Linked DNA regions of Drosophila melanogaster. The protein of the gene in region 2 purifies or fractionates together with the protein of the main gene of each other region. This does not show direct contact. Each region holds a gene or a part of one and is shown on either strand. Other genes may lie near its edges.

What was found.
Region 1: the proteins of ewg (region 2) and ebd1 purify together in Drosophila melanogaster (affinity purification with western blotting; one study listed by BioGRID). This does not show direct contact.

What each region holds. Positions count from the first base shown.
Region 1 is NT_037436.4:682,094-687,429, forward strand, and holds ebd1 (earthbound 1), read right to left. Parts: upstream 3,457-5,336; 5' UTR 3,055-3,456; coding exon 2,935-3,054; intron 2,599-2,934; coding exon 973-2,598; 3' UTR 792-972; downstream 1-791. Other genes in the region: hiro (highroad), read right to left, coding at 3,898-4,193, 4,249-4,434, 4,488-5,279.
Region 2 is NC_004354.4:276,532-281,761, forward strand, and holds the start of ewg (erect wing), read right to left. Parts: upstream 3,104-5,230; 5' UTR 2,654-3,103; intron 1-2,653. UniProt on the Drosophila melanogaster protein: May function as a positive regulator of transcription in developing and differentiated neurons, regulating common aspects of neuronal differentiation and maintenance. Requirement in the CNS may be higher than in the peripheral system.

The DNA.
Region 1 (5,336 bases), on a different chromosome or scaffold from region 2:
TGCATGTGTCTCGATTGAGTGATTGATTAGCCGACTGACCCGATGGGCATGTGCATGTGTGCGTGTGGAAATGCACAATAAATCATTTGATTCCCACATACTGCTTGAAAACAAAAACGTAGCTGAATCCGATTTTCTTATTGTATTAGTTTTAATTATATGGATTAAACAATGACTTACAGCTCCCCCGCAATTTAGGTGCACGTGTGTGCGGGAGAGGAAAGCAGCAAATATTCAGACTTTAACTAAGGGCAGACCTGCGCACTTACCCATCTTAGCCCCAATCAAGATTGTCGGCATAAGGAAATCATCAGCAAAGTATGAATTTATTTTAACTCGCTCTCCAAAATTTCACACTGATCAGGGAAAATTTTAAAATACACTCTGAATCAGGGAAATTCTCTCTTTAACAAGATAGAATTCAATGATTGACCTCTTTGTTCCGTTATTTTCATTTACATGCGCTTTGTCTCTTTCTCTCTTCTGGCTCGCCTGTGTGTGTGTGTGTGGGTGACCTCCCGCCCGGCAAAAAAAGAAGAAGAAGCCCAACTAAGGGCAGACATGCGCACTTCGAAAAAAAAACAATTAGCGCGTATATTTAGCCGACTTTTTGTTCTGGCGAGAATGTGTGGAAGGAAATGTAGCTGTTATAACATACAACACAGGTCAAAATAATAGGGTTACAGTCGGGAGCATAGTATAAAATAGTTCCAACAGACCAATTGACAATTGACATTAGCTCATTCATCACAATATTTTATAACCACATCAAATTTACTCACTAGAAACTTGGTTTGATTGCGTTTATTTGGTTCGAATACAAATTATGTTCACCTTAGATCTAATGATTGATTGCATCCGACCGATGTGCATCTTCTAGATGCATCAGTTTGCAAAGATTACACTCTTTGGCTGCAGCTATTCCTCCTCCTCTTCGTTCTCCTTCATGTGGCGCTCACTGTTTGGAGCATTCTACGGCACATTGTCATCCATTTCGCGCATCACTTCATCGGCTCGTGTGATCAGCTCAATCAGCCGGTAGTTCTCCTTGTACAGAGCAAACTCCTCGAGTAGCTTTAGGTACTTGCGTGCATCGGCGCAGCTGATGACACTGGACCCACTTTCTTGGCCGGATCCCCCATTGTTGTTATCGTCTTGGGCGGACTCATAGCGACGTTTGGTGCCCTGGCGAGGATTCAGCGAGTTTTCAACTGCCGCAGGCGAACTCACCTTTCGCTGCCGCATCTGCTCGATGTACTCCATCTCGTCCTCCACATTGGCCGCCAGAACCTCGGCCAGCGAGGTGACACTGGAGCGACCATTGTTCGCGTCTTCATCGAGATCCGCTGGGTCTTGGTCCAGTTCCGATTCCAGCTCAGCCTCTGGCTCCACTTTTATGTGCACTGTAGGCGGAATTTCAAGATCCTTTTCCCTTTGTGCTCGGTCATCGTTCTCCTGGAGCTCCGCCTCGGGCTGCTTCGCCAGGAGCTCTTCCGGGTCCTTGGGCTCCACTTTGATTTCCTTTTCCTGCTTGATCTCTAGTTTGGGCGGCGGTACCACCGGTCCTTTGTCCTGCTGCTGTGGGGCAGGAATCTTGGTGATGCTCTGAGCGAGCGTGGCTAGTGGTATGATGGTCATGGTCATGGGCTGTCCGCCCGCTTGCGTCGGAACAATGGGTGTGGCCAGGAGAACTTTTTGAGTGGTGCCTGGCGGTGTGTTAGCTTGGAGGGGCAGTCTAACTAGAGGCGGCAAGGGCTTCAGAGCCCTGGCAAAATTTAGTTCGCTTAGTGAGGGCTTGACATCAGGCTCCTCCTCCAGATCATCCTCGCCGCTAATACCGCCACCGTCGACATCCACCTCGTCATCCTCGTCTTCTACATAGCTGCGGGGATGGCTGCTCACCGGGCTGCCCAAGCTGACCTCTTCGTCATCCTCCTCGCCGTTCCGTGGCCCACTTTCCGGCATGCTTTCCGACATGACGTCCTTGACGATGTCCTTGATCTGCACCGAGTAGCCCTGCGTGTAGCCTATCTTCAACAGTCTGGTGTCGCTGTGTTGGATGCTGTAGGTGCGTCTGAACTTGTCGCACCACTCCTGGTGCGGAAAGAAATGTGCCAGGTTCATGGAGCTCTTGAACTGCAGCGCCATCTTCTGGATGAGTCCGTCGGAGATGCTGAAGTCCTTGTAGTACATCATGCGGCGTATCCAATCGTACACGGCCTTGCCCAACATCGAGACCCTGACGGTCTTCGTCTCCATGGTCTTGGCGTCCTGGCTCCTGCGGGTTCGCTGATCCCACGCGTTCAGAATCTCAGCGCGCTGCTGCACGATCCGCTTGATCTGATCTGGGCTGCAGTTGAACAGCCGGCCAACGTGCTTATAAACCGGCAGCCGATCGTATTCCCGCAGAGCAGCAACCTTTTCGTTGAGGGCCAGGACATTCTTGCGCTTGATGCGATTGTCGAAGGCCACCTTCTCGGCGGCCGGCAGGCTGGGGGTGTGCGTGCTAGTGGGTGTGGGTGATGCAGTCGAAGTGGGTGCTGCTGGTGGAGCAGGCGCAGGCGCAGGAGCTGGTGTGAGAACCTCCGTGTCAGTGGCCTAACGACGAAGGGAAAAAAAGTGCTGTTATTACCGGGTTTTATGGTAACAGTTGAAATCGTGCAAAGTAATGCCACCATGAATGTAGAGATACAGTGCTCCCTCTGAACATGAATAATGTAGACAAAACAACAGAAGGTCTTTGCATATTTAGTTATGTTAACAAAAGCAACAGTTAAGAAAGACGAAGTTTCAAGGAATACATGGGGCTTTTATACTCATACTCATTCAAGCTTATATACAAATAAACGCCTAGATCAAGTCATTTACACTCGTGTTCTTTGAGAAGTGAAATGGGGTGGAAACACTTTGCGAGGCTTGACTGTGGCCACTTACCTTCGCCTTGTTGTTGTTGTCCTGCGTCTTGGAGGCCTCCTTGTGCTCCTTTTTCTCCCTCTCCACGCGCTTCTCCACCCTCAGCTCCCTCTGCAACTTGCGTTTTTCGCGTATCCGCATTGTTTGTGCTTTCCGTGCAATTTACACGGCAATTGCCGTTTGTTTTCGTCTTGTTTGTTTTTGTTGCTGCTGCTGCGCCCACTCAATTTCGCCCACCCCTTGCACCCTTTCTGCTCTCTCACTCACACACCCGCCCGCCTGTGTGTGTGTGTCCGTGCGGCTGTGTGTGTGCGATGGCTACGATTATGCGCGTTGACTGTCAAGCGAATTCAAATCATTTCGTCACTGCTTTTCTCGCTTTTCTTTGGCCTTTCAATGCGCTTTGGCTCTATTCGCTTTCGTTTTCTCTTCCTAGGCACTCGATTTGTCTTCTGATTGTGATTTTCCAACTGGCCGTGCGCTGCACCTTGCGTATTTTCCGATGTCCGTGCGAACTAGACGACGACCCATACAAAAATAGCTGCCGCGTTATCTCGCGCAGTTTTCATTCTCTGCTCGCTCCCTCTCTCGCTCTCGCATGCGCAACGTGGGCAACTAGAACGGAAGGGAAGTCGGCGTGTGCGAGAGTGTGTGTGCGTGTGACCAGCTGAGAGGGTGCAACTGCGCATGCGACAACTTTACTGTTACTTTCGCCATGTGGCAACTCTGCAGGCGATCGCTTTTTAAGTAGAGTAAGATTAATGAGAACATACATATGTATGTATGTATTTTGTTTTCAGTTTAAGAATGAATTGATTTCACAAGATCTGCAACTAACTGCACTGTAAAATATAACTATAAAGTCTTTGCGAATTGTAATCAATATTTAATTTAAATTAATCGAACCACCACCAATTGGAAACCCACGAGTCCATACATTTCGAAAATAATCTTTATTTTAACGCTTTTCTCCGGCTAATTTGTTTAACCGAATTTGGTGAAGTGTCGCAGGATGTGCGACATGGCCGCGGGATTATCGGCAGGAACCATGTGACCAGCCCGGTTGACCCAAAACATGCTGAAGTTGCCATAGGTCTTCTCGTAACCCTCGAGAACTCGATCTACGGTGATTCCCACGCGCGGAGAGACCTGGTAAGATGGCTTGGCGGACCATTCCATTGCTTCGATCCAGTTGACGGCTCCCGGAGTGGCGCAAATCAGGTCCAGTCCTCCGGAGAACACGCCCACTTTTACGGTGGTGTTGTTCAGCAGTTCACCCACTAAAAGTGTCATAAGGCTATAATTTGAGGTAGCACCCAGACGGTTGAAACATACCAACATCCACAGCTGGCTTCATGAAATCGCCCATCAGCTTGGTGAAGGTGGTGCCGCTCTGGGCGCCCCATTTCACTCCGGTGTTGATTCCGAGGGCCTCGGTCACGGGTCCAAGCATTAGATCCTCCAGCAATTTGTCGCGGTCCTCATCCACATCGAATTTCACGAGGGTGCGATACATGACCTCTGGATAAGTGGTTGATGAGAATCAGCTCGGTAAGTTACGCAACGGATCTTACCCTCCGGAGTCATGGCAGCTCTGGACATCAACCTGTACTGATCACCCAATGTTGGGGTCTCCACGTTATAGAAGTCCACTCCCTTGGACTCGCGCAGCACCACTGACTGGGTGGAGCTCCACTGCAAAGTGGCCTGTGTCCACTTCTCGCGGTCAACATAGTCCTTAGTCTTCAGGGCCGAAGCTTCAATCTTGTCATGGCCATCCTGATCCACGATTCCCAACTGCAGCAGGAAGGGAGCCCACGAGAGCACAGAGTCTATGGGTGAGGTCCAGGGATCTCCCAAGGCCACCGAAACAAAGTTGCTCTCGATCTCACCGCGCTTGATGGCGTAATCCAACTCCAAAGCGAACTCCGGGGCCATCTTTCCGCCATAACTCTCGCAGAAGATGTGCAGCGGCACAGTCTTGAATTCCGGGTGGTTTGTGTAGAAGCCCTTCATCAGCTCAACGAGATCCAGGGCGATCTGCTTGTTGTTGGTCGTGTAGTAAGAAGATCCGTCCACGTAGCTGAAACCACTGCCCACGGGATTGTCGATGAACATCACGTTCATGTCCTTCACCCAAGTCCAGTCGCGGTAGCTGCCGTCGAGCTTCAGGGGACCCAACTCCTCAAAGTTTCCGTATCCCGTTGAGGAGGCACCTGGACCTCCTTGGAGCCAAATGGCCAGCGGACGCTCCGTGTAACTGGAGACATTGGCGGTGGTGTAGTACAGCCAGTAGAACATGTGGGCGCCAGTCCTGACATCCACAAATCCCCAATCCTGATCACCGGGTCCATAGCCCTTGCGTGCTGAGAGTATATTGAATTATAGCTCATTTCGATTAAATAGTTATTAATATACAAAGC
Region 2 (5,230 bases):
ATATGAGCTGTTATCAACACCCCTAATAGGAATGTATAAGGAGAGATTCGGGCTCCGAAAAAACCAACCCCTTAAATCCCACACCTTTCACCGCACTGAATACACACGCAAACTCGCCCAGCTCGAGGTGCACCTCACGATGAAACTATCTTATGCAGTGTTTTTATTTATTTTCCTTGGATCTTTTTTAAACTACCACGCATGCACTACTCGAACTACCCAATCACCCCCGCGAAACAATGCAGTGGGAACACCACCAACTCCCACGTCCTTATAGGGGATGTGAGCACGACCCACTTGCGCGTGCCACACATATATCGAGAAAAGTGGCCCAGCAAAAGTGAGCACACTTCTAAACCTTGATTGTAATCAAAATAGGCATCTGATGATGAGAGAAAGGGGAAAAGAGTAGAGAGAGTATATGTTCACCCCCTAAGACACATACATATATACATTCTTATCCGGATTCTGAAAAAGGTGGGTGATGAAATTGTGTGAAGGAACCTAAAGTATTGCCAAATTAAAAAGCTCTGCGTTTGTTGGATGTAGTCTTCAGGTTTTCTTTCTAATTATAGAAGTAGGCCATTTTAGAGTCCTTTAAGATTTAAGGCCTACACAGTGATGCCCACAGGTTGCAGTAAGCGCAACTAAACTTTGTGTCGGAAGTTAGCAACACTGTAAAGAAGGCATTTGCGATGTATACTATTCTTGATCAGTGTCAACACCACAGGCGACAAAGCCACGTCCGTCTATACGTGTCTACGAAAATTATTCTCTTAGTTTTAATGTTATATGCTTGCACCTTTTCCAAGAGTATTCTTTGTCTTGCACATGGTATATTATTCGGTACGGAATAATAAAAAAAAAAATAATTTAAAAAAGTGTAGCATCGTTGTTTTAACATCTGTACATATATATACATAAGTATATATATATATATATACATATATACACTTCAATATATTTCGGTTGTAATTGCATCGAGAAGTCGAAAAGTCACAGGGAAATTGAGGAAAAAGAATCCTAGTTTGTTTTTATATTTCGCACAAAGCGTATACTCGTAAAAGCCGTTTTTGACATCATAATTTCGGTTTCAATTTGATCAAAATATTAGAAAAGAAATTATACTCTTGTTGTATCCGATCATAAATTCTTCTTATTCGGTGTTTTCTCAATTTACTATTTAATGTAAGCGTATGTGTGCTTTCGCGTTTTATATGTATTCTTAAGGCAATTTTTAGTATTCGTGAATATTTCATTATTTTTGAATATTTAAATTCTTTAACCCCAGCTTCCGTAAACTCCAAAAAGTTACTGCCGTTTACATCGAAGTATCGTTTATTCTATCTATACATATATAGGAAAATTAAAAATACCTTAAGACACTTTTTTATAATTTTAAGCATGCAAGACTAACAGCCGCAATAATTACCAAATTATGATAAGACAATTTGTTATGTTCTGCAAAGAATTGACCCCACCGTGTTTTTTTACTTTCCCTTTCCCACAATCGAATTTTCTTGGTACTGCTGTTTCTCTCTCTCCCTCTCTTAATTTCCCACCATACTCTTTTTTCTGTGCTGGACAGCACAGCTCTACAAAAATGAAATGATAACAGCGAAAATACAAACGAGAGGCAAGTTACGCATGCGAAGGTTGTCGCGGCAGTGGAGTCGGCGCAAAGACCACCACTGTTCATAGCAATGCAGTGACAGAAATATACATATGTATGTACATATACAACCAACAGTAAGAGTTCGTAGGAGTTTATAGTCGGGGAAACAGGAAAATACCAGCAAAAATGTAATCTTCTTGTTATGTCTAAATTTTTATATTTGTTTGAGCTATTAAATGTTCTTGACTATCTTAAACTCATCTCGAGTAGAAACTATTTTTGTTAGGCATGTGTTTAAATCGGCCATAAAATAAATAAAATACTCTTATTCCTTAGATTTAAAAGATGTAACAAATATAATCTGTAATTGTAGGCTGGCCGTTGCCCTGTTCCAATTGGAACTGTACTTTTATAGCCCACCCCAATACAACCTATAACAGTGGCGTCCTTCACTATTGGAACTGGAAAAACCCAATGAAGGTTGCTGTGAGCTAGCCATCCCGCTCTGTTTATCCATGTGTGTATCTACAAATTTTTCGTCTCTAGGGGGTGGTTTGGGTGTTTTTCGCAACCCCAAAAACGTCAGAATCACACAGACACAGATGCATCAAAAACACGCATACCTTCCAATGCAAATGGGAAATGCGTGTGCTGTCGTGCACACAATTGGAAGTGATACCTGTTTGGCGTTTCTATTCTACAACCCTACTTTACACATCATCCTTCCTATCGGAGTTTCCTGTCTTTGTTTTAACTTTTAGCTGAGGCGCATGGTTAAGTTACGGACACTCGCAGTTGGATTTTCATTTACGGCGCCGATGTAACGGTAACACAAGCTAAATACACCAGCACACATATATGATAACCTAATACACACACACAAGCCAGCAAGAACCGTTAGCTCAGAAACTCCGAAACTTTTGGGCATTCACTTATGCCACTACAAATCTCTATATACACATATAAATTATAGACTGTCACAGTGGAAAATCGGAAAATTTGTTGACCCCTACCACTAGTTTACACCCACATACGCACCTGTGTATTTTTGTTGTTTTTCCAGCTCCTTTATGATAACACACATACACACTCACAAAGAAAAAAAAGGCGCACGCACACGAACGCGCCGCCGCTATTGTGCATTGGTGTGTTTGCCCCTGCGCCGAAAATTTTCTTTGGCGTTTATTTATTATCACACTGCACATGCGAATATTCCGTGCATTTTACATTTGCGCACTGCCGTTTCTAGGTTGTAGCTCCAAAATTTCCCGCTCGCAAAGTTTCGCTGTTTTCCCTCACGATGCTTTTCCGTTAGCTTAGTTTTCAGCTGCCTGTCCCAGCACTTTTCCCCAAGTTTCGACGCAATTTTGCGATTTAATTTAGCCGAGGAATGGTATTTAGTACATGACAAATATCGATATACAGCACGCGTGATTTTTTCAGACGTCGATAATGTACACGCAATACATATCGCAGTCGAAGGAAAGCGGTCACTCTAAAATGCATAGGAGAAACGAGGATTGGCGGTCCCACTAATTGTGCTATTTAAGTTTAAATTCAAGTCCCCCTAGCGGACTTATATTAGTTGAAAAATTGATTGTATATTTTTGAGTAAGCATATAATAATCCATAAATATAATAATATAATAATAATTTTTGATATAAGAAATTTAAGTTTTCTGGTGCCAAAAAGATTTTAGTCTTTCTATGCAGGGAAAATTTGTTCCCTGGGCTTGCCACGTCCTCTATTACACTCACATATTTATAATAGTTTCATATTTATTTAGTTTGTTATTTTTTAGAAGAGTTTTTAAATTTCTCTCTAGCACTCCACCATCTCCGTATCTGATAAGAGACAGTTTATTAGTAGCTTTTTTTAAAGGTTTATATTATGAACGCTACAAAGAATATACAACATTTGATCCACGAATTAATCAGATGTAGTTATTAATGTAACAAAACTTTTAGGATACCCCAAAATAATGGTAAATTTTAAACAGTCGAAAAATTTATTATTCGGGAGTCGAACTGCAATTACACGTAAGCCCTTCACAAGGCAGCTAGCAATATTTAAAAAGGAGTAAGCTAGCCAGGCCAAATGAAAAACTGACATACAATCAACTTCGTATTTCACACGCGGGAAATTTAACAAAAAATAAAAAACAAAAAAATAGTTTAGGGATATGAAATCCTGAAGGATTGGTAAACTAGAACGACCGAAGACGACTAACTGCTTGCCACCAAAAATGTTGGGTTTTTATGTCCGTCGTCGGCACTCACACAATAAAATTCATTATTAGGATGTATATAGTGATAAAAGGAATTGTTTTTTTTTAACACAGATTGCCCGTATGTAAAAACCAAAGAATTCATATTATATAAAAAGAAACCACAAGTTGCTTATCGCTGTGAAATGAGGCTGGTAGTGCGCTTGCACTATGGGGAATTTAACATGTTTTATTGGCATAAATTAATATCTCGTAAACTATTTAAGATACGATGAATTTAGAATTATTTTGGCAAAGTGGGTGCCCCGCCCACTCCCATAAAATTTTTTTTTTAAATCAATATATTCTATCTAATCCACCAATGTATTGGAGTTACACCATGTTTTAGATTGTCCACAATCGGTACAAACTTAAGTCTCTTAACATTTTTATTGATAAAAAAATCTTTCAGAGTCGCATTTCGTACACTTCTATCAGGGCCGCATTGCTGATTGCTACCTAAAAATGTAATCTTCGCGAAAAGTCACAATAAGTAGCATTCGCAAAAGTCGCGTTAACCGTATGTGTTCTAAGTAGGTAATTAATCACTCTAAAACATTGACTAACACACATATCAAAAATTTTTTGAAACTCAATTAATTTTCGTAAGCACTAAAAAAGAAGGTCATCGATGGCACGTGGTTTTTAACATTGATTAATTTACATTTGCGTTACATAACTTAAGCCTTGATCTTAATCCGTTAAGAAAAAAGTGTTCAACAATTGAAACATTTTTAAAAACACATTTATGCCAAAAAACGAATCAAATTCCCCATAGTGGCTTTGGATTTATCTGAAACTTGGCCCTACTTATTCCTTATCGGCAATTCTTCCGGAATTCTACACGAACTGGCCTTATCGGTTCTGCATAATCGAAACTGGCAGTGATCTTGAATTCAGTATTTAATCCAGCTTGGCAACTTAAAACTGAATTGGGTCAAAGGGGTCGAGGCGTGTACTATTTCCGTTTATTTCACAATTGGCAATAATATTCTTCTATATCATTATGAAATTGACCACTGGAAATTTTTGAGTAGCATAAGACAAATTAATTGTTTTTACTTTACAACTATTATTTAAAAGAAACAAATAAATATTCACGAAATAATTTATGTTGCAATTCATTGCTTTCACATCAATATGTTATGTTGAAGGTCCTCTGATGCTAATAGCCGCCACCGAGTGAAACGAAGGTCACGAGTTCCATATACTGTGTGACAGTGGAAAACTAGATTAAGGTCCCTAACGTAGTTTCCAAGGTTTAGTTGTTTTTGCAATAGGCTGTGGGCAAATAGGATTATCCGAATGTTTTGTGAGAACGCCGGCCGGTGGGCAGAATGCTTGGGTG